3 linked regions of the Saccharomyces cerevisiae S288C genome follow. The gene in region 1 interacts genetically with each later gene. Each region holds a gene or a part of one and is shown on either strand. Other genes may lie near its edges.

Region 1 (6,006 bases):
TAGTCCATTTTGTCCCTCTTTCCGGTTTTTTTTTTTTTACGTTTCCTTATGAAAGTATAAGTAATACTAAAGAAAGATTTATAAAGTGCCGTTACTGTTACGTATGATAAACCTTTTGATACATTTCTTCTTATTTAAGCCACTGTCTTTTCCTTTAGATAGATGCCGTACTTGTCCTTTAGTTCTTTCATGATTGGATCATTAATCTCTGGTGAGTATGGCGCTAGTAAGCCTGGTCCCTTGATTGTACCATCTAAGACGAATTTCGTTGCAATGGCAACTGGATAACCAACAGTAGCGGCCATAGAACTGTAACCACCAACCTTACCATAGTCAACTAAAGTGGATGTTCTTGTTTCGGTAGTTCCATCAGCCCATTCAATACCGAATTTGTGTTGTAGTACAACCATATCTCTTTCATTGTCTTCATATTGCATTAGTTCTTCTAAACGTGCACATAGAGTGTCTAAAGCATTACCTCTTGGTGTGATCTTTGCGTCAGAGAACAAGCCTAACCAAGCAAACCCGGAAAGGATTCTTTCTCTATCTTCATCATCTTTCCAAGTAGCCTTTGAGTCAATGGAAGCAATCAAATCTTCTTTAGAAGTAGACTTGGCACCTAAATATTGTTTTAGTGCTTCGTTCCAGGCAATTGGCTTGCTGAAGATTTCGTTAGCATCATCCTTCAACATACCCATGTCAACTAAAGCCTTAACAAATTCTGGGAAACCTTGATATCTCAAAGTACCTCTAATGACCGTTTCGGCTTCTGGAATATGATAAAGATCCTTGAAAAGGGTAGAGTCTCTATTTGGGTAGCAAACGAATGCATAACCTGGGTAGATGAAGTAAGGCTTAGCAGTGGCCATTAAGTCTTCGGAAGAAACAGTTTCAATCTTTCCGTCTTTCCAGTATTTAGCAGAGTTTCTTAAAGCCAGTAGCACACCTCTGGAGGACCATGAAAATTTGTATCCTAATGGATTATCAGAGTCTTCAGGAGCTGGTAAACCACCACAGTATGACAAGAATGACTTTAGCTTACCACCAGCTCTGTGAACTTCATCAATAGTCTTGACCGCATACAAGTGGTCGATACCTGGATCCAACCCAATTTCGTTCATAACTGTAATACCTGCCTTTACGATTTCTGGTTCCAATTCTCTTAAGGCAGGTGAGATGTAAGAGGAAGTGACGACATCGGTCTTTGTTCTGATGGCGCTCTTTACCACATTTGGATGGAAGGTGTATGGAATCAAAGAGATGACAACATCGTTATCAGCCAGAACTTTGTCTAAGGCACTGTCATCGGTAACATCCAATGAAATAGCCTTGGATCCAGAGGGCTTGGCCAATGCTTGCGCATTGGCTAATGTTCTACATGCGACAGTGACATTGATGTCATCATTAGCAGCCAATGTGTCGATAACAGGTTGTGCAACAAAACCAGATCCTAGCAACAAAACGTTCTTTCCCATATTAAAATATATAATACGTTAATATAACTCAATTGTCCTGATAAGTTTTCCCTACTGCCTAAGGATCCTTCCCATGTAATTTTACCAGGACCCTACGGTTTATATACCATTAAGCCAAATTCTGTGCTACTTTCTATCATCTATTGCTGATAATTCCATTGGAAATTCTCAATACCCTTTATTGACATCTTTATTTTTCACTACAAAGCGAATTTTTCCAACGGAATTTCGATTCCAGAGTATGAGTAATTCTTTTCACTACTAAACGCATTGCTTCGTGGTCAGTAGTAACCGCAATCACACTCTTCACTTCTGTTGTGGTGAATATCAAAAGAAACAAGAGATCATCCACAATTTCCTCAGCTTGACTTGTCTGCAGTTGCGATTAAAATTTGACTTTTGCTCCACCGCTCTCTACAGGTATTATATTTGGAAATCATCAAATGATGGGAATCCCCTACGTGGCACTTAGATACGATACATAAGACTCTTGCATATGTAGCTACCAACGTGGGAAAACCTTTCAAGTAACAGTTTGTTTGCTCTTAGCAACTTCTAGCCCTAATGAAAAAAAATGAAAAATAATTGCCAGCTTTTCCCCGCGACTTTTCAAAATCGGTATAAAAGCAAGTCGAAAATCAGTCAAAAAACTTTTCTCTCTTGATTGCTTATTGCAATCTCACTTGTTTTTTCCTTGATTTTACTTTCAATTTAGTTTACAATATCATGGGACTTTATCTCCATGACTATGCCATTTCTAGGTAGCCTATGGTAAACGAATCCCGTAGATTATTCACACGTTTGTTGTCTTTGTTGACAACAACACAGAGTAAGAAAAAGCAAAAGATTTATCTCTTTTGTCCATCTTTTTTTTATTTTGAAGGCGTGTAACATTTATTGGTTACAACATGGCTTGTTTTCTTGTCCCTAACAATCGCCAGGAGAATTTTTTTTGAAAATTTTCTTCTATTTTAATTATGTACATAAATGTCGTCAGTTAACTACAAATGAGCTATCTATCAATATGCTTTTTTTTTTTTTTAATTACTGCTCAAGCTTGCTATCCCCTTCTACCTCCGTTTCCTAGCACAGAAGAAAGTGCCCATATATCATTATATTCAATTTTTAACTTGTCTCTTTTTCTTTTCTGCCTCGGTTTCGCGCATCTACTCTACGCTATATTTTCATAATCATCTCATTTAAATGGCATTCATTCCCTTCCGCGCCAGTATATTAGTTACTAATCATACAGTTTCTTGTTTCAATTTTTTAGATTTTAATTAGCGGTTTTTTTTTGGTTTTTCTTAAGATTGGTTTTATGATTTTTTTTTTTCTTTTTCAAATTTTTTTATTATTTTTTCAATTTTTCTTTTTAAAAGGCTTGTGGTTGACTAGTCCTTTCTTTTTAGGGGTTGCTTTCTATGAGAACGTGTTCCATTAGTAAATATGCCAGGAGGATTATTGCTCGTGGGCTTCTTTACTGTTTTTCTTTCTAAGCATACTTCAATACCATCAATTGACTTTTTCTTCTTCTCTAAAGCATCGATTTGGCTCTTTTGAGTTTCAAAGTCGACGACGGCAAAATTGTCTGCAGCTGTTATCCTCATAACTTTACCGAATTCTTTTTCTAAGGCACTTCTCAATTTTTCTTCTCTTAAGCCATTTGTACCTCTAATGTAGATTGGATAAAAGCCGTCCTTGTTAACGGTGCTGAATACTGGTTTTTTCTTATTTTTGCTGTTAGCACTAGCGTTGTCCCTCCGATTCCCCATTTCAAATTTTCTTTCAGTCGGTTTCTTGGGTAGTGTTTCAGGTCTGATGTATTCAACCGTGGTATTATTTTTGCTAATTCTGTCGGAGTTTTCATTCATCAACTTTGAGGCCCATGTCATCTTTGGTGGATTCGCAACGGGCTCTGGAGAAGATGAAGGTGTTGAAGCGTTATTGCCGGATTCTTTGGCGTCGGAAACCTGTGGCTCTATTGGTTTAATTTCAGTTTCAGCTTCCTTTACGCCCCCAGGTACCGGTTTTTCATCACTAACTTCTTTACCGTTGGGCAAAGAAGAGTTATTAACAGCATTTATGGCCTCAACAGAGCCTTCCTTTGTCTTGATTGGTGCAGCTTTCTTTTCGGCTTTGTGAGATTTTTCATTTAGTTTAGTAACGTTTCCTAACTCTTCTGTAGAGACCTCATCTTGTTTGTGGTTGCCCTTAGTACTAGATGGTACCGTTTCGGTGTGAATCTTGGACTCTTTAGTGACGGGTATAGCCCGAGGTTGACTATGATCGACAATTGGTTTTTCCTGAGTTGACGATTCAGTTGGCGCAGTTGTGTCTTTGACCGTTTCCTTTTTGGCCTTTGGTTTCGATATTTCTGGTGATTTTTCTTTTTCTTTTTCTTTTTCAACTCCGGACTCATGCCTTATTTTATCTTCTTCAACTGCACTGACAGAGTTCTCCTCGTTAGATTGTGACAAAGAAGCATCTGTTAAGACATAAGGCTTGAATGAATTGGAAATAAATCTGATTATATCATTGGTAATGTCAAACGTAGACCCATTGCTGGATGGTAGCAGGATAAATGTTTGACAAAACTTATAGACCGGAGTTCCTGTCCAAAACATTTCACCCGTGGCCATGATCAGAATGCTTTTGTGCAAGTGCCCAGTGTACTGGAAATCTATAGTATCTAATTTTAGTTTCAAGCTCCTAACTTTGGCATCATTTCTAGAAAAAAACTTATTAATGTTTTCACGTCCAGTAACTTTCACCGTTGGAAGAACGTCATCTTTTTCGTTTGTTGACTTGGACTGATAATTAGTATGCGTCAACTCGGCTGTACTTGCATAAAAATATGCCAATTTGGAAGGGTCGGTCCTCATTCTTTCGTAGTAGTTTTGCAAAAAGGCAAAACATATGTCTTGAACGGTAACACCCATTTTCTTTTATTTGATACTTCTATTCGAGGGTATGACTTCAAATGCAACTATTAGTGACAAGGTAATAAAACTATAACACACTTGAAAAAAAAAATGCGATGGTTTTGTAGTATTCTTCGTGATCTTTTTCTCTTTAAAAATCAACGAAAAATAAAGATGTATCAGTAAAATAAGTTTTCAACAGATTCTCTGTAAAATGATTGACTAATTGAATATTTGAAAGAAAATGAGGTTTGAACGAAAATAATAAAACAAAAAAAAAAATGTAATTAAATGGGCAAAAATGAATTAAAATGTAGGGAAAAAACACAACTTGAAGAATTAAACAGAGTAAAAAAACGAAAGCTTGTGGTAGGTGATATAAATAAATTAAAGCAATATCTTACTGTTTATTCTTCCTCTAGAATAGTTTTGGTACTAACGGTAACTAGAAAACTGAAGAAGTTTTTCGTATTCTTCTAATACTCAAGCAAAATATCCTATGTCAAGTACTACCACTTGTACAGTCTTCGTTTTGTACAAATTAGGTATGAATTGCTCTTTTTTGAAACAGTAATGGGATAAAAAACAAATGACTTAGTTTAACGTCCGCCGGTTGCGATAGAACTTTTAACCGTAACAATAGTAACAGTGGACAGGAAAAAAAAACGGTACGAAAAGGTAATATTGCCTAATCTGAAATAATGTAGTCACTCTAGAACTATTAATAAAGAAGCTTGTACTTCCTCTTATCCCTGGAATGGACGGTTATGCTGCTTGCAATATGTCATTCTTTCATTAATCGCCACCTGATGTTTTTCGCTGCTTTGGACGAAAAAATTTCCAAGAAAAAATAAATGGTTAAACAAACTACAGCGCACGTGACCGATAACTATACGGGAATAACGCATCAATCTCCTGTGGAAGAGTGCTTATTGCATCGAAGAACCAATCTGTATTACTACATGTCCAATCATAAGCTGATGTTGCTTTTAAACTTTTTTTTTTAAAATTGTGTATACATATAGTACATAAATGATCATTGGTCCCCATCAATACCGTATATGACACCTTGGTACTTGGCGAAATCCGTACCGTTTGGGAACTTATGCATAGACAGCTTGCTCAATTGGCAGAAGGATAGAAGCATCAATAGACTCTGGCCGCCTGTAGTAGTAAATATAGAGAATCTTGGTAGCCCTAACTCATCGGCAAGTGTGGTTAGTGAATATTGCTGCTGCTGTTGCTGTTGTGAAGATTGTTGCAATTGAGGGTTCTTGAACTCCTGGATTATTTTATACACCAGGTTTAAGTCGTAGAAATTGGGCATGTATTGATGGACCCACCACTCGAAATCCTCCTTGTTGTTGGGCATGGAGTCATTCATTAGAATGTTGATCAGGAAACCTAGATCATATGCCGCATGGTATGTGATCCAAGTAACAGAATCATCCATCATTAAACCAGAGTCCATTAGAAGCTGCGAAAATTCAAATACATCGATGCCTAAATTTTCGTGTTTTTCGAAGTTGATACCTGATTTTCTGAGTAATTCTAACGATTCTGTGGACATGATTTCCTTCTTTGGGTCAAATTCAAAATTGAACTGCCAC
Region 2 (5,620 bases), 660 kb from region 1:
AGTAACGTACCTACCACGCCTTCAAGAGAATTGAACGGTACCAATTTTAACTTACTCAGGACGCCCAACTTCAACATGGGAGACTATCTGCATAATCTTTTCAGCCCTTCACCAAGGGTCCCCGCCCAGCAGGGAGCGTCAAACACGTCAGCTTCAATTCCTTCTGTTCCAGCGATGGTGCCCGGATCATCTTCCAACACTTCTGCGATAGCAACAGCTGCTATATCAAGCCACACCACAAACAATTTTCTAGATATGAACGCAAACGGGATCCCGCTCATTGTAGGACCCGGCACCGACCGTATAGGCGAAGGGGAGTCCATTGATGACAAACTCACTGATTGATCGTTGACGGCCATATCAGTTGATGATTCCATACTTCCTGAAATGGACCACTCAAAGGGACAAAAATGACAAATGTTGAAATTATAAAATTACATATTAATACGTAAAATGACATTCTTTTTTAGGGAAATTCGGAGATAGATTATCACTATGTAAGCTTATGTATCGTAATATACAGGGCCGATATTTCACCTAGTTTACTTTTTCTGGTGGCCTTTATGTTTATGACTGTGCCCCCTCTTGTGTTTGCTTTTAGAGGCTTTCTCTACAGGTATCAGTATGGTGTCCTCATCCTTCTCCCCTGCCTCTGCTTCGACTGGAGCTAACCCATTTTCGTTCTTAAAAGTTTTCTTCCTCCACTCTCTTAATCTTCTTGCCTTCATCACTTTCCTTTTATCCTTCGCTCTTAGTTCCTTGGAACGATAAGGTGCAAATTTCTTCAAACCAATAAATTCATTTAAATCAGTATCATCGGCGGCGAAAATCTCTCTTGCGGTCAAACCGAAACTCTCAGGAGAAACTTCACGGTAACGAAACTTCAAATCTTGCTCCTCTTTTGTACGGCTTCTACTCTTTCTTTCTTCTTCTTCTTTTTCAACCTCCTCTATTAGTGCTAGTTTGTTTTGTTCCAAAGCATTTTCCACTAATTCATTTACCTTTCTCTTTTCTTTCTTCTTTTGCAGTTTCTCTTCTTTCTTGCTCTTCTTTCTTTTTGGACCTTCTTCCTCGTCTTCTTCTTTTTGTTCTTTTTCCACTTCACCTTCTTCTGTTTGGTCATCACCATCGGCGTCTGCATAAAAGTCACCCATTATTTCGTCATCCTCGTTCCAGGTAGGCTTTCCCTCTTGTTGATAAAATTCTTCATTAAATAATTCAGCTACCACGTTATCCCACTCTTCTTCTTTGAAATCGTTCTTCAATAGGGTGTCAGTGATTTTTTTCACCATGTCGGCATTAATTTCAGCACCATATTCCTTTGTTAGTTGCTCTAAAATGTCAGTCAATTTATTCAATTTTTTAGTCTTCTTTTTCTGAAGAGCTGTCTCCTTCTCTGCTTTTATTTGCTCTTTAATTTTTCTTTTTTCCTCTCTTTTTCTTCTGCGTGAAGAGTCATCGGATCTTCTTAGTGTAGCTTGACTACGTGCATAAGATATAATTTCAGCTGCGTTTGGGTCCTCGTACCTAAAATTGTAGGCATTCTCAAATTTTTCTGCAGCATCTTCAAATTCTTCATCGTCCTCTTCATTATTGTTGAGGTCAAGAGAAATCACCTTGTCCCCCTTCTTAGGAATCCAGGCCTGTTGATTCACAAATTCTTCCAAGAAATTTTCTTCATTTACGGTTGGATCCGGTAAATTTTTTCCTTCCTTCTTCGTAGAAGGTTCCTTTTTCTTCAAAAACCCATCGTCTTCATCTCCGCTAGACTCTTCATTTTCTTCATCGCTAAAGGCACTCTTGATTTCATTTAAAAGCTGAGTTTTCTCTTCACGTTGTTGCGAGACGAAAGATTGCTTTCCGTCAACAGTTGCATGTTCGTATTCTTCGTCATCCTCCTTTAAGGCATCACCAGAAAGTATGTTCATACGGTGATAATCTTTTAGGTAAATAGGTTTATGCTTCCCCTCACGATTGGCCAGTTTGGCAGCAGCAGATTCGGGATCCTCGAAGAATTTGACTTTAGGATCTAGTAGTTTGTCCGTCTTATTGTTTTTGATGGCATCTAGCACTTGATTAATACCGTTTTCCACTTCATCAGTAATCAATTCACCGTAATCATCTTCCTCCTCTTCTTCCTCTTCGTCTTCTTCCTCATCTTCACTAGGAACGTACGATTTGCTTGCTTCGATTGCAGGCTTAACTGTCGTCGCAGAGGTTTCAGAAGTTTTTATGGTAGCAGTATCCGTTGCAGGTACGGCCGCTTCTTTTTTTGCTTGTTCTCTAGCTCTTTTAGCGGCAGACTTTTTTCTTGGCATTGAATTTAGGGTATATCACACTGTTGTTGAAAACTATGAGCATTTTGCTTTCTGAAGAAATGGTTCTGTTAACTAGATGAGATGAGATTGATATATTTGAAAAATTTTAACCGATGACCTTGCGGCTCCTCCGGGTAATACTTTTTTCTCACATAAATATCAAAAAATAACGACGGTATTTCAATAATACTTTTATATAAGTAATGATAACATGCGAGGCAATTTATTACAAGCCACGTAGGCCTAATTAAAATTATAAACTAACACTAAAGTAATAATAATATTTCAGATTAATAAAAGAACAGGAAATAGGAAAGAGATAAAAAAAAATTAGGAACATAAAATAAAAAATAAAGAAGAAATTGAAGGAGTGACTGGATAAAAGAAGTGTATGATAATATCAAATGGAAATTTGAATATATTTTATTCCAAAAAATTTTTTTTCTTTTCCAAGTGAAATATAAACAGCGGATCAAAGGTGAAAAAAATCATAGTATTTTGTTCATTAAATTTTCCGAGGGGAAAGAGAACAAATTAATAGAAAATTATTATTCAGCAACTTTCGTAGGTTTAATTTTATCAGCAAATTCACCCAGAATTTGTAACTCAAAATCATTAAAATCAAACAAATTTGGTAGCTTGATTGGTTCAGTGAAACCTCTTGGTAAGAAAGTGTCATCATTCCTTAATTCATTAAAGAACTGATGGGCAAGGATTCTTCTTGGAGACAGTCTTTGTTGTGGTTCGTAGACCAATATTTTCATCAAAAGATCGATACCATCTGGACCGGAATGGCCAAAATACTTCTCAAACCTCTGTTGCGAAGAGCCCGAGAACAGTGGTTTGGAAAATAGAGGGCCATCGTAGGCCGGATTCGAAAAGAAAATGAATCTTTTATCGGGAGGACCTAACAATTTAGCAATTTCCCTTAGCTGTAGAAGGGGTTCTTGACCTTGAAATATGGCTTTGCCGATAAGCATCTCGCCCATGACACAACCAAGCCCCCATATATCGATCTGGGTGGTATATTGGGTACAACCAATGATCAATTCAGGCGCTCTATAAAATCTTGAACAGATGTAACTAATTGAAGGCTGGTTATGTTCCAATTTTTTGGCAGACCCAAAATCGCAGATTTTCAAGACACCGGTTTCCGGGTCTACAAGAACATTGGATGGTTTGATATCACGATGACAAACGCCAAGACCGTGTAAATAAAGCATCCCGCGGGCAATCTGATAAGTGTATAGCCTGATATGTTTTAATGGCATTTCTAGCTTGTTTGTCACATAACGATTAATCTCGATTTGTAGAGTTTCTGGTAAGCATTCCATGGCAAGGTGTTGATAAACTTTATTATCTTGCGGGGACAAATGAGTAAAGAAATACTGCAATTTAACGATATTTGGATGGTCGGCAATCCTCAGAATCTGTAATTCCCTGGACTTGTACTCGGTATGAGCAGGGACTTTTTTAATTGCAAAGGGGCCCAACCAGTTTTTCTTATCCTGGGTTAAATATGCTTGTACAACAGTCCCAAAGGCACCTCTACCGATTTTCCTGTACTCTTTCACCAGCATCCGCCTCGTGTTGTTCGATTTATTCGAGGTTACATCGTCTGCAATGAATTCAGATCCCCTTTGCAGAGGAACACCATTCTGCTCTTCCGTAGACATATGTACTAGAATGTGATGGAGTGGGGGTTTCGGAAAATAAAAAGAAAATTGAAAGATGAAGCAAAGAACTCTGTAGTCTTGGGCTTAACTCCTATCAATAAACACGTTACGGGCCTGCCCACACTACTAACACGACACAATGGCACTCACTTGCGAAATCTATGTCGTTTTCCCTTGGAGGTTACGCCTGCCCTCTTCCGCATATGAAGGTCGCTTTTTTCAGTGTTGTTTGTGGGTCACTGAACTGTCATTACATACGAACTGAGTGGAAGCAAGAATGCTGCTTTCGAAAGCCACTACAGCTACGTGTGATCATATAATTCCTGCATAATATGGCTGCATGCTTTTTAATGATAGCTTCAATTATGATGATAATCACTGAGCTACTAGTATTCCATTATTCAGCCTAAGATTGGAACTTTCTATAGCAGCGGAGAGTGTTTGTTTCGTACTTCGTGACTGTTTGGCATAATAACGATGAATTGGGAAAGAGGGAAGACAAAATGAGAGTAAATCAGGTGGAAAGCAGTGGTTCTTCTGAAAAGAAAAAGTGACAGTGTGAACTGTTATAGTTACGTGTGATGCTGTTACAACCTGTTTGGAAAGGCTGCCGATGGACGCAGTTTGTCAGGCCTATCAGAAGATGGAATTCTACCGGCACGAATAGAGGAGTTCCTTTTTCATTTAAGGATATTTCAAATCAGGAGGATATCACGAATATCTCGTATCCTTCGTCCTCTGACTCAGTTTTGACAAAGTCAAATGGTAGTAGTGAGGTTTACAAGCCCAAAGAGGAAGTAGTTAAGTACATTCTACATGGCAAGTTTACTAAAAATAACACGCATTTGACATTTTCAAGCGTTGTGGAGGACAAGAACTTTCATAAGAATAAGGGACTTACGTATAATGATACAATGCTGTACTATTTGAACTTACCCCAGAAAGTGAAGATTTCGCTATCTACAGGTTGTTTAGGGTTTAGGAAGGCAGCAAGAGGGGAGTATGAAGCTGCATTTCAAACCAGTGGTAGAATGTTTGAATTGATTAAGGAAAAGAACATGCTGAACAAAGATATCGAAGTGGTGATGGACGACTTTGGGAAGGGCAGAGCTGCTTTTATTTCCGCTCTTGTTGGTAAGGAAGGGGCCAGTGTGGTGAAAAAGGTTGTGAAGATCAGCGATGCCACCAAATTGAAGTTTGGTGGTGTAAGATCACCAAAGATGAGAAGACTATGATCAGCTCCCACTATGTATGAATTATAAACTATGTAAAAGAAGAAGAAATATATATATATTCGTGTAAATAATTCGATTTTTCCCTTTTTTTAATTGTCGTCGTTAGAGTTGGCCAAAATCCTTAAAATAGACAAAAACAAATTGACGATGTCCAGGTAAAGCATCATGGCGCATCTAACTTCTTCATCAGGATACACTTTCCTAAAAATCAGTTGCGTATCGATGAAAAGATACGCGGTAAATAAAATGGCACCAAGCCAGCCGTAAAGCAGATTAAACTTGGAAGAGTGGGTATTCCAGCCGAAAAGCAAGGCCGTGAGACCCATTCCGATCATAATCCATAGACCCCAGTTTAACCAATAGTATATTGACGTTGCGGAATTCAGCACGT
Region 3 (7,666 bases), on another chromosome or scaffold:
AATAGCAGGTATGGTTGAACTGATTGAACACCAAAGCATATCGATCTGTGAAATTCACTCAACATGCTTTTAAAGTAAGGCAAGTTCTAAGTGATTTCCTACAAAACATCGCTGAGAAAGGAAAGAAAAATGGCATGATATGGAGTAAGAATCGGATCGGTGCAATATACTCCGAGCTTCCCGAAAAGATATATTCCGGGCCCAAAAATATCTGGCTAAAACTATGCATAATACTTTTACTACTTAGAGTCATACGTATTAAAAAAGGTATTTAAAAAGATGGAGATATGTATTAATCGCTCGGAAGTGATTAGTACAATCTGAAAGCTGGACCCATGGAGGACTTAACAACCAAGGAACCAACATTTTGCCAGTTCTTCTTCAACAAAGAAACAAAGAAGTTAACAGACATCAAGATTTGGTTAACCAAAACGTCTTCTTCCATTTCAACGTTACCAACGGCAACAGCCAAACACAAGACCTTCTTCAATTGGAACTTGATGGTAGATCTGACATCAGTGACCTTACCGTACAAGTCATCGTTGTGAGAAACTGGGGTTGGGAACTTACCAGCCTTGGACAATTGAGGACCCAATAGTCTTGGAACTTGCTTGATCAAAACTTCGGAAGCAATGAAAGCGTTGTACTTCTTAGACAACTTCTTGATTAACTTCTTGTTCTTGTTCAACTTCTTCAAGTCATCGACGGACATAGCGTCAACACCGCAAGACTTAGCTCTGTCAACATCGAAAGCATCACCGAAGATACAGATGGACATGTTTGGTCTTGGACAGTTTGGCAACTTCAAAGAACCAGAGAAACGCTTGTCTCTTTGAGGGTCATAGTTCTTCAAACCGACTTGTAGTTCGACGGTTTCCAAGAAGTTTCTCTTCTTGGTTTCGTTGGAATACTTCAACAATTCCTTGACGTGTTCTCTGACTTGAGAAGAGGTGATCTTAGACATTTTATGATATGTAATTAGTCTTCCAAAGTATTTGGTGGTCCGTGAGGCTTGCGACTAGTTCTATGGAGTCTTTCCTGAAACTTCAAGAGGTTACCAAATAACGTAATGCTCAAGAAGTGCTGCGAAGATGTACTTACATATCTTAATCCAAATACAACACTCTTCCCATTGATTGCGTCTTTCTTCCTCGGACTTTCCAATCTGAGGCCAAAAGATGTCTATGGCATTATTGTGTGCGAAAAAAAAGTTTCAGGAAAAAAAAACTTTAAATATTTGAGGTTGCACCCGTGCATATTGAAAGATGTATGGGTTCAAAAATGTCCGTATTCAACTTTTGCCAAAAGCTGATAGCTGTTTGGCCTTATGAGGTAAGGTTTATGAACGCAGTCTTCTTCATTGCGATCTAAAAGTTGATATGTTAATGGAGATAATGGTAGAGTAAACTGAATTTTTTACAGTCCCCTTTCTTGAAATTAAGCAAGTTATTTAGCTAACTTACATACCATCTTCATGTATCGTTTTTGATTTTTCAGTTCTTTTTTAAAAAAGAAGATCAAGTAATTTGTTCTAATCAAAGAAGAAGGTTCAATACCGTTTCTCTGGTATTTGTAAGATCTCTTTTACTGGCGTTCTTTTAAAAATGATCAGGTCCGGTTAAAGGGCGTCTCCGTCAATGAGAGAAAAATGTCAGCCTCTGATATAGATGGAAGTCGTAGCCATCAAGATGGGCTTATCCGAGGTTTGAAGTAATGACTACACATACTGACGGGAAAATTACAGCATGATTTTAGTGTACAATCGTATCAGGAGTATAATATCGTCTTCTTTAGGTCGAATACATGTACGGTATAATTCTAACTCACAAAACAGATGGCTGAATAGACAACTGAAGGATCCCTACACAAAAGAGGCCAAGGTCCAAAATCTGAGGTCTAGAGCCGCATTCAAGCTTATGCAGATTGATGATAAATATCGGCTTTTTAGCAAAAACAGGACCGATCAGAGAATTCTAGATCTTGGGTATGCCCCTGGGGCTTGGTCCCAAGTAGCACGGCAAAGAAGTTCACCTAATTCAATGATACTGGGCGTTGACATTCTCCCTTGTGAACCTCCGCATGGTGTGAACTCTATTCAAGCTAATATATTGGCCAAAAGAACTCATGATCTTATACGGCTCTTTTTTTCTAAGCATTTCCAATTGAACAGACACGATGATTTGCATAAGGACCATGGCTATTTCCAGAACATGCTCGAGGAGGAGCTAACCCATGTGAAAGATACTGAATTGTACCGTGAAATTTTCACCTCTGATGACATTTATGAAACTCCGAATACGAATAGTACCCTAATAGAACGAGAAAAATTCCCAGTTGATGTGATTATAAGTGATATGTATGAACCCTGGCCCCAAACAACCGGTTTTTGGAACAACATTACTAATCAAGCTTATTTTAGGATGGCTAATACATCTGGTGTCAGTATAAGAGACCATTACCAATCTATTGATTTATGTGACGCAGCCTTAGTTACGGCTATAGATTTATTACGGCCATTAGGTTCGTTTGTTTGTAAACTATACACCGGCGAAGAAGAAAACCTATTTAAAAAAAGAATGCAGGCAGTTTTCACTAACGTTCATAAGTTCAAGCCTGACGCTTCTAGAGACGAATCAAAGGAGACCTATTATATCGGATTAAAGAAGAAAAGAAATGTAGATAAACTGGACGTGTTTAGTAATTCATAATATGATTTGTTTGCGCGCAAAGTTTCAAGTCACGTTCATTTTCACACCTATCGCAATAAAAATAAAAAGTGTACATCTGTATATATATATGTTTACCATCCATTAAAGATGTTTTCTCATTCGTTGATTAGTTCTTTATTTGTCTTTCTATGAGGTGGTTAACTCTCTTCTTCCACAGGCTCCGGCACTGCCTCTCCTTGCTCCGGCTGTTGTTCTGATTGTTGTTGCTGGGGAGCTTCCTCTTCTTTTTTTTCGGCTTCAACTGCCTCTGAGTTGGATTCTTTAAACTCGCTGTCCTCAACTTCAGCTTCTTTGTTTTCGTCAGCTTGTTCTGGGGCTGGAGTGGAATCTAAGTCAATGAGTGGTTGGGCATCTCCTGAACTCGAAGAGCCTGGTAAACCTTCGGCCCCACAAACTCTTTCTGATACAGTATTCTTACCGTTGAGTATCAAATTTTCCTTCCATTTTGTAACAATATCGTTGACTGCATCATCTCCTAAACCGTATGTTGATCCAAGGAAAGCGGCTTCGGAAAACCTTTGAGACTTGATTAAAAGATCTTTAGCGCCTTGTATATCGCCAGCGATCCAATATGCATTAAAAGCCAAATTGAATTTACCGGCCCTTTCAGCATCTTTAGCTAAAGTGACCAACCCCTCCTTGTTATTAAAAGATGAGTGCAATAGAAATAAAGATTCTAGATCATGTGCATTTGTGAAAGCTTCAACAGCAAGTTTAAAATTGAACCTTTGTAAGGAAGCATCACCCAAGGCTCTCCATTTCATTTCGGCGCTTTCATCTGTCAACAAATCGCGAGCAAGCGTAAGTTGGCCGACTTTTAAGGCTAGCTCAAATTTTTGATCTTGATCAGGGGAAATATTCAGTGCTTCTTCATAATACTCTTGACCTTCCAGAAATCTAGCAATTTTTGTTAAAGAGTCCTTACCCTCAACATTTGGGAGTACATTTTCAATGGCTTCTTCAATTTCCCCTCTTAAAGTCAATGTTTGGAACTCCAGCACCTCTAGAGATATTTCGTAACCATAAACATGGACCTCTCTGTCAGCTAAATATACTTTATTATCACGTGCTAGATAGCCCAATAGATACATTTCCTTTGTGTAATGGGCTAAATTATAAGTCTTTCCACCTACGAAGTAGTTCAGCCTGTTAGTTGCTGTGGTAAAGATAAAGACATCACCAACCCATTTGCCTGATGTAATGGATTCACTTAGTTCATACAATACGTCAAAAGCCTCATCAACACCTTCTGAATCGTCGATATTGCCATTATTTGCTGCTTCAAGGTAAGCATCCTTGTTGAATAATAATGTGTAACCACTTGCTTCATCACCATTACTATTGGTGTTGACAATCATCACCAGCTCACCGTTATCGGACCAAATGACATCCTTAGCATTAACATCAATTCTTCTAACTAGCGTACCGTTGTCCCAATCGAAGAAATAGACGAAGCCATCAGACTTCACACCCAACAAGGCACCTGAAAATAATCTATCAATAGCAGAATGCATTGGGACAGACCATGATGTGACTTCTTTAAAGTTTTTGTAGTATTTAATTTGCCCAGTTTCATCAATTAAAGCATAACTATTGGAGTCGGGGCCCCAAACAAAGTCTTGACATTTACCGAAGGCTTTGTTTCTCCAAGCCAACGCCGTATAAATAACGTATTCACCATCCCCAACAACTGTAACAAACCTACCATTTGGAGAATGGGCTAAAGATTGAGGGAAAACATCAACGGAACCCAGCTCCTTAGTTTGTAAAGATAATGGTTCATCTTGTTCAACTTCTTCGTTACCTCTTATGACGGCAGTGAAAATGTCTGAAGCTGCGGCATTTTTGCCACCTGACCATACTAGCTTACCGACAGGGTCAAGTGATAAAGTTGGTTCATCATTTCCCAAGGAAAGTACGGTAAACCCATTATCAAACCCGGATGCAATGTAGTTTTTACGTCCTGTTGGATGGGTAGCGATACACCAACTTCTTTCTAAACCAACGTTTAAAGTCTTTTCTACCTTGTAAGTGGAAGAATTCCATATCTTTAAAGTGCCATCTTCGGAACCAGAAATTATAATGGGTAAAGTTGGATGGAAAACAGCAAAAGAAACATTGGACATGTGACCTTCTAGAGTGGCTACACATGACTTCGTTTGGTAATCCCAAATTTTGATGGTTAAGTCGTCCGACGCAGTAATCATATAAGGCTTGTCAGGTAGCGGGTAATAATCAACATAATTCACACCTCTTTCTTGTCCTGTGGTTAACGTGAAATTTGGTGTCGATTGTCCCAATGACCAAACTTTAACGGTTCGGTCCAAACACCCAGATGCAAACGTACTAGGATCCTTTGGATTGAATGCGACGCACATGACAAAGTGTTCGTGACCTTCAAAAGTTTGTTCTAAGGCCCAGTTATTTTCCCAATTCCATAGTTTGACTGTCAAATCATCACTGCCGGATAAAACATAAGGCTTTGTTGGATGTACAGCAATGGAACGGATATAGTCTGGATGAGCTTCGAAATCAACAACTTTTTCACCTGTATTGTAGTTGAAGACTCTGATCCTGAAATCATCACTCCCAACAATTATCCAATTCTTTCTTGCAATGAATTTACCTGCTCTAACAGGAGTTTCCGTAACTTGGATGGATCTAACTTCAACTTGTGTTTCGTAATTCCAAAGCTCAACACGACCAGAGTACAAGGTAGTCAAAACCCATGGCTCAGTAGGATGGAAATCGATACCTTTAACTCGATCGGATCTATTACTAAAAGTTTTCTATCATAAATGTACAGTGTCAAATAAAGGAAATGCCAAGAGCAAATGCATTTATTTCAAAAATCTTCCTGTTAGTAACTAATCTTAATGTTTGCTTTTTGCAGGCTTTGTATTCTTCGCGAACGAGATCATTTCCTAATCATAGGAGTTGTCGGAGCTTGTTCGCAATTGCATTGGCAAAACGCGCTCTGGTAACATACCTTTATATCCAACTTCATCGTGTCCGTATAATTGTTTCGATTGGGTGTCTTAATTCACCATTACAAGCTACCATTTATTGCAGCTTTCTGTTATTTACTCCCAAATCTTACACGACATGTTCCTAATGCCAGCTCGATTCATTCATGAAAAAAAGACAGTTTATTACCCGCTCATTCGTCAGACGCGATTAAAATTTGACGCCGCGTCACAAAATAATCAATTTGATAATAATATATTTGATATTATTGTCCATATTCAATAATTAGTAATGTGGATCTAATGATTTTTATACAGCTCAATACAAAGCAACAAAACTAAAAATAGATTATAATATCCAAAGTGCTCCTCGGATGAATGTACAACTTTTTAGAATTTTTCTTCTTTTTTATAACGTACACCTTATTTAAGAGCACTTTCGTTCAAGGAAAAAGTTCATTTCCTGGACATGATGTGTGTAAGTTCGAAGACCAAAATTTCCAGACAGAGTTCTTCTTAAATGTTCTTAAAGGTGACAAGTTACAGAACTTGAAGCAGGAGTACGAACAATACAAAAAACAAAGTACTTTGTACACAGGCTTTGTAATTGAAAAACAATATGAATACCAGGTAGCGCCCTTGCAAATCAATAATTTTCTTCAAGTGACCTTTTGTAAAGGAGGAAAGCCAATTTGGAATCATATTCTACCCTTTCAAAAGGATTTAGATTGGGCAGAACCACTATGCATTCCAGCCCAGGAGGATGATACTATCTCCCAAAACAGCTCAGTATGTTTCAAGTTTGCAAGGGTGCAGAAATATACACAGCGTAATGTAACCCTTTACTTTCCTAATAAATTTGTTGGATTCGTATTTGTTTGCAATTCTTCAAAGACGCATCCCCCCACTCAGAACAATTTTGAAACTATTCCATTAACGCCTATTATTTCTGATGATATTAGAGATTACAAAATATCTTGGTCAATTAAAGGAAGAATCACCAAGGTGGTACCTTATCTACATTCGTTAAGTATTCCTATGTCCAAATATGAGATGCTCATCCATTCAGATAAGAACATATCAAACGAATTGGAATATAAATCCTTAACTTCGGAGTTTTGGAAGAGCTATAAAAACTTAAGAAAGTTTAAAAACAAAGAAATGTCTTGGATAAACGAAATAAATCCTATGGAGCAATATGATAGCTCTGGGAATGAAAATGTCCCGAATTTTCATGAAAAACTAGACCGTACAATAAATCGGATTGCGCAAAACATAGAAAGGCCTCATGATGCACTAATAAGAGCGATAGCCGCACATAATAGAAACTCTAATAGTGGAAATATTACAAGAAGGAAATATTTGAGGAGGAAGATCTCAAAGATGTTAAAAAATAAGATACCTCTTAAGAACTGAACAACTTACACATTCCTATTCATGAAAAAACATAATTTTATAATAAATTGTTTGTTTGATTCGATTAGTTTATTTAACTTGATTAATTTAAGTATTTATTTTTTTTTAATTTGTTGTTACACGAGGAGTATTAAAAATATGACAAACTGGGATATTACAACATAGAAACAAAGATAACAAAAGCTATCTATTTTAAAAAAATTCATATTAAGCAAACTGGTACAAAGTGTTTTAACGTTATTAATGAAAAAGAAAACTTGGGAAACTTCTGACAAAAACAGAATTTAGAAGGTTAGAAGGAGAATGAGAAAAACCTGTAAAATTAAAAATTTTTATGATAGGAGCAGAACTTTTGTATATCGTAAAGACTCACATAAATCCTTCATCGAAGAATCCAGGGGGTTTCCTCAGTGGTTGTTTATTGTTTCCCAAACTATTTATGCTGTCATCTCGAACATAGTTTTGCGACCTAAATCCTCCGTCCGAACTTGAGGTATCTAAAAGGTCTCCTTCAGTGGAGTCGTGAAATGGATCGGTATTTGAACTTGTATCTTC

The links.
Region 2: mutations in BRE5 (region 1) and MCK1 together harm fitness more than expected from each alone (negative genetic interaction), as found in Saccharomyces cerevisiae (6 studies listed by BioGRID).
Region 3: mutations in BRE5 (region 1) and SEC27 together harm fitness more than expected from each alone (negative genetic interaction), as found in Saccharomyces cerevisiae (5 studies listed by BioGRID).

Annotation. Positions count from the first base shown.
Region 1 is NC_001146.8:713,914-719,919, forward strand, and holds BRE5 (Bre5p), read right to left. Parts: upstream 4,415-6,006; coding exon 2,867-4,414; downstream 1-2,866. Other genes in the region: LYS9 (saccharopine dehydrogenase (NADP+, L-glutamate-forming)), read right to left, coding at 135-1,475; CCR4-NOT core DEDD family RNase subunit POP2, read right to left, coding at 5,433-6,006. UniProt on the Saccharomyces cerevisiae protein: Has a role in de-ubiquitination. In conjunction with UBP3, cleaves ubiquitin, leading to the subsequent mono-ubiquitination of sec23.
Region 2 is NC_001146.8:53,580-59,199, forward strand, and holds MCK1 (serine/threonine/tyrosine protein kinase MCK1), read right to left. Parts: upstream 3,995-5,620; coding exon 2,867-3,994; downstream 1-2,866. Other genes in the region: STB1 (Stb1p), read left to right, coding at 1-345; KRI1 (Kri1p), read right to left, coding at 543-2,318; mitochondrial 37S ribosomal protein uS11m MRPS18, read left to right, coding at 4,576-5,229; BXI1 (Bxi1p), read right to left, coding at 5,319-5,620. UniProt on the Saccharomyces cerevisiae protein: May be an autophosphorylating tyrosine kinase, a bifunctional (serine/tyrosine-specific) protein kinase, or a serine kinase that is a substrate for an associated tyrosine kinase.
Region 3 is NC_001139.9:247,939-255,604, reverse strand, and holds SEC27 (coatomer subunit beta'), read right to left. Parts: upstream 5,737-7,666; coding exon 5,719-5,736; intron 5,519-5,718; coding exon 2,867-5,518; downstream 1-2,866. Other genes in the region: 60S ribosomal protein uL1 RPL1B, read right to left, coding at 311-964; MRM2 (21S rRNA (uridine2791-2'-O) methyltransferase), read left to right, coding at 1,746-2,708; YGL138C (uncharacterized protein), read left to right, coding at 6,074-7,111; FLC3 (putative flavin adenine dinucleotide transporter), read right to left, coding at 7,481-7,666. UniProt on the Saccharomyces cerevisiae protein: The coatomer is a cytosolic protein complex that binds to dilysine motifs and reversibly associates with Golgi non-clathrin-coated vesicles, which further mediate biosynthetic protein transport from the ER, via the Golgi up to the trans Golgi network.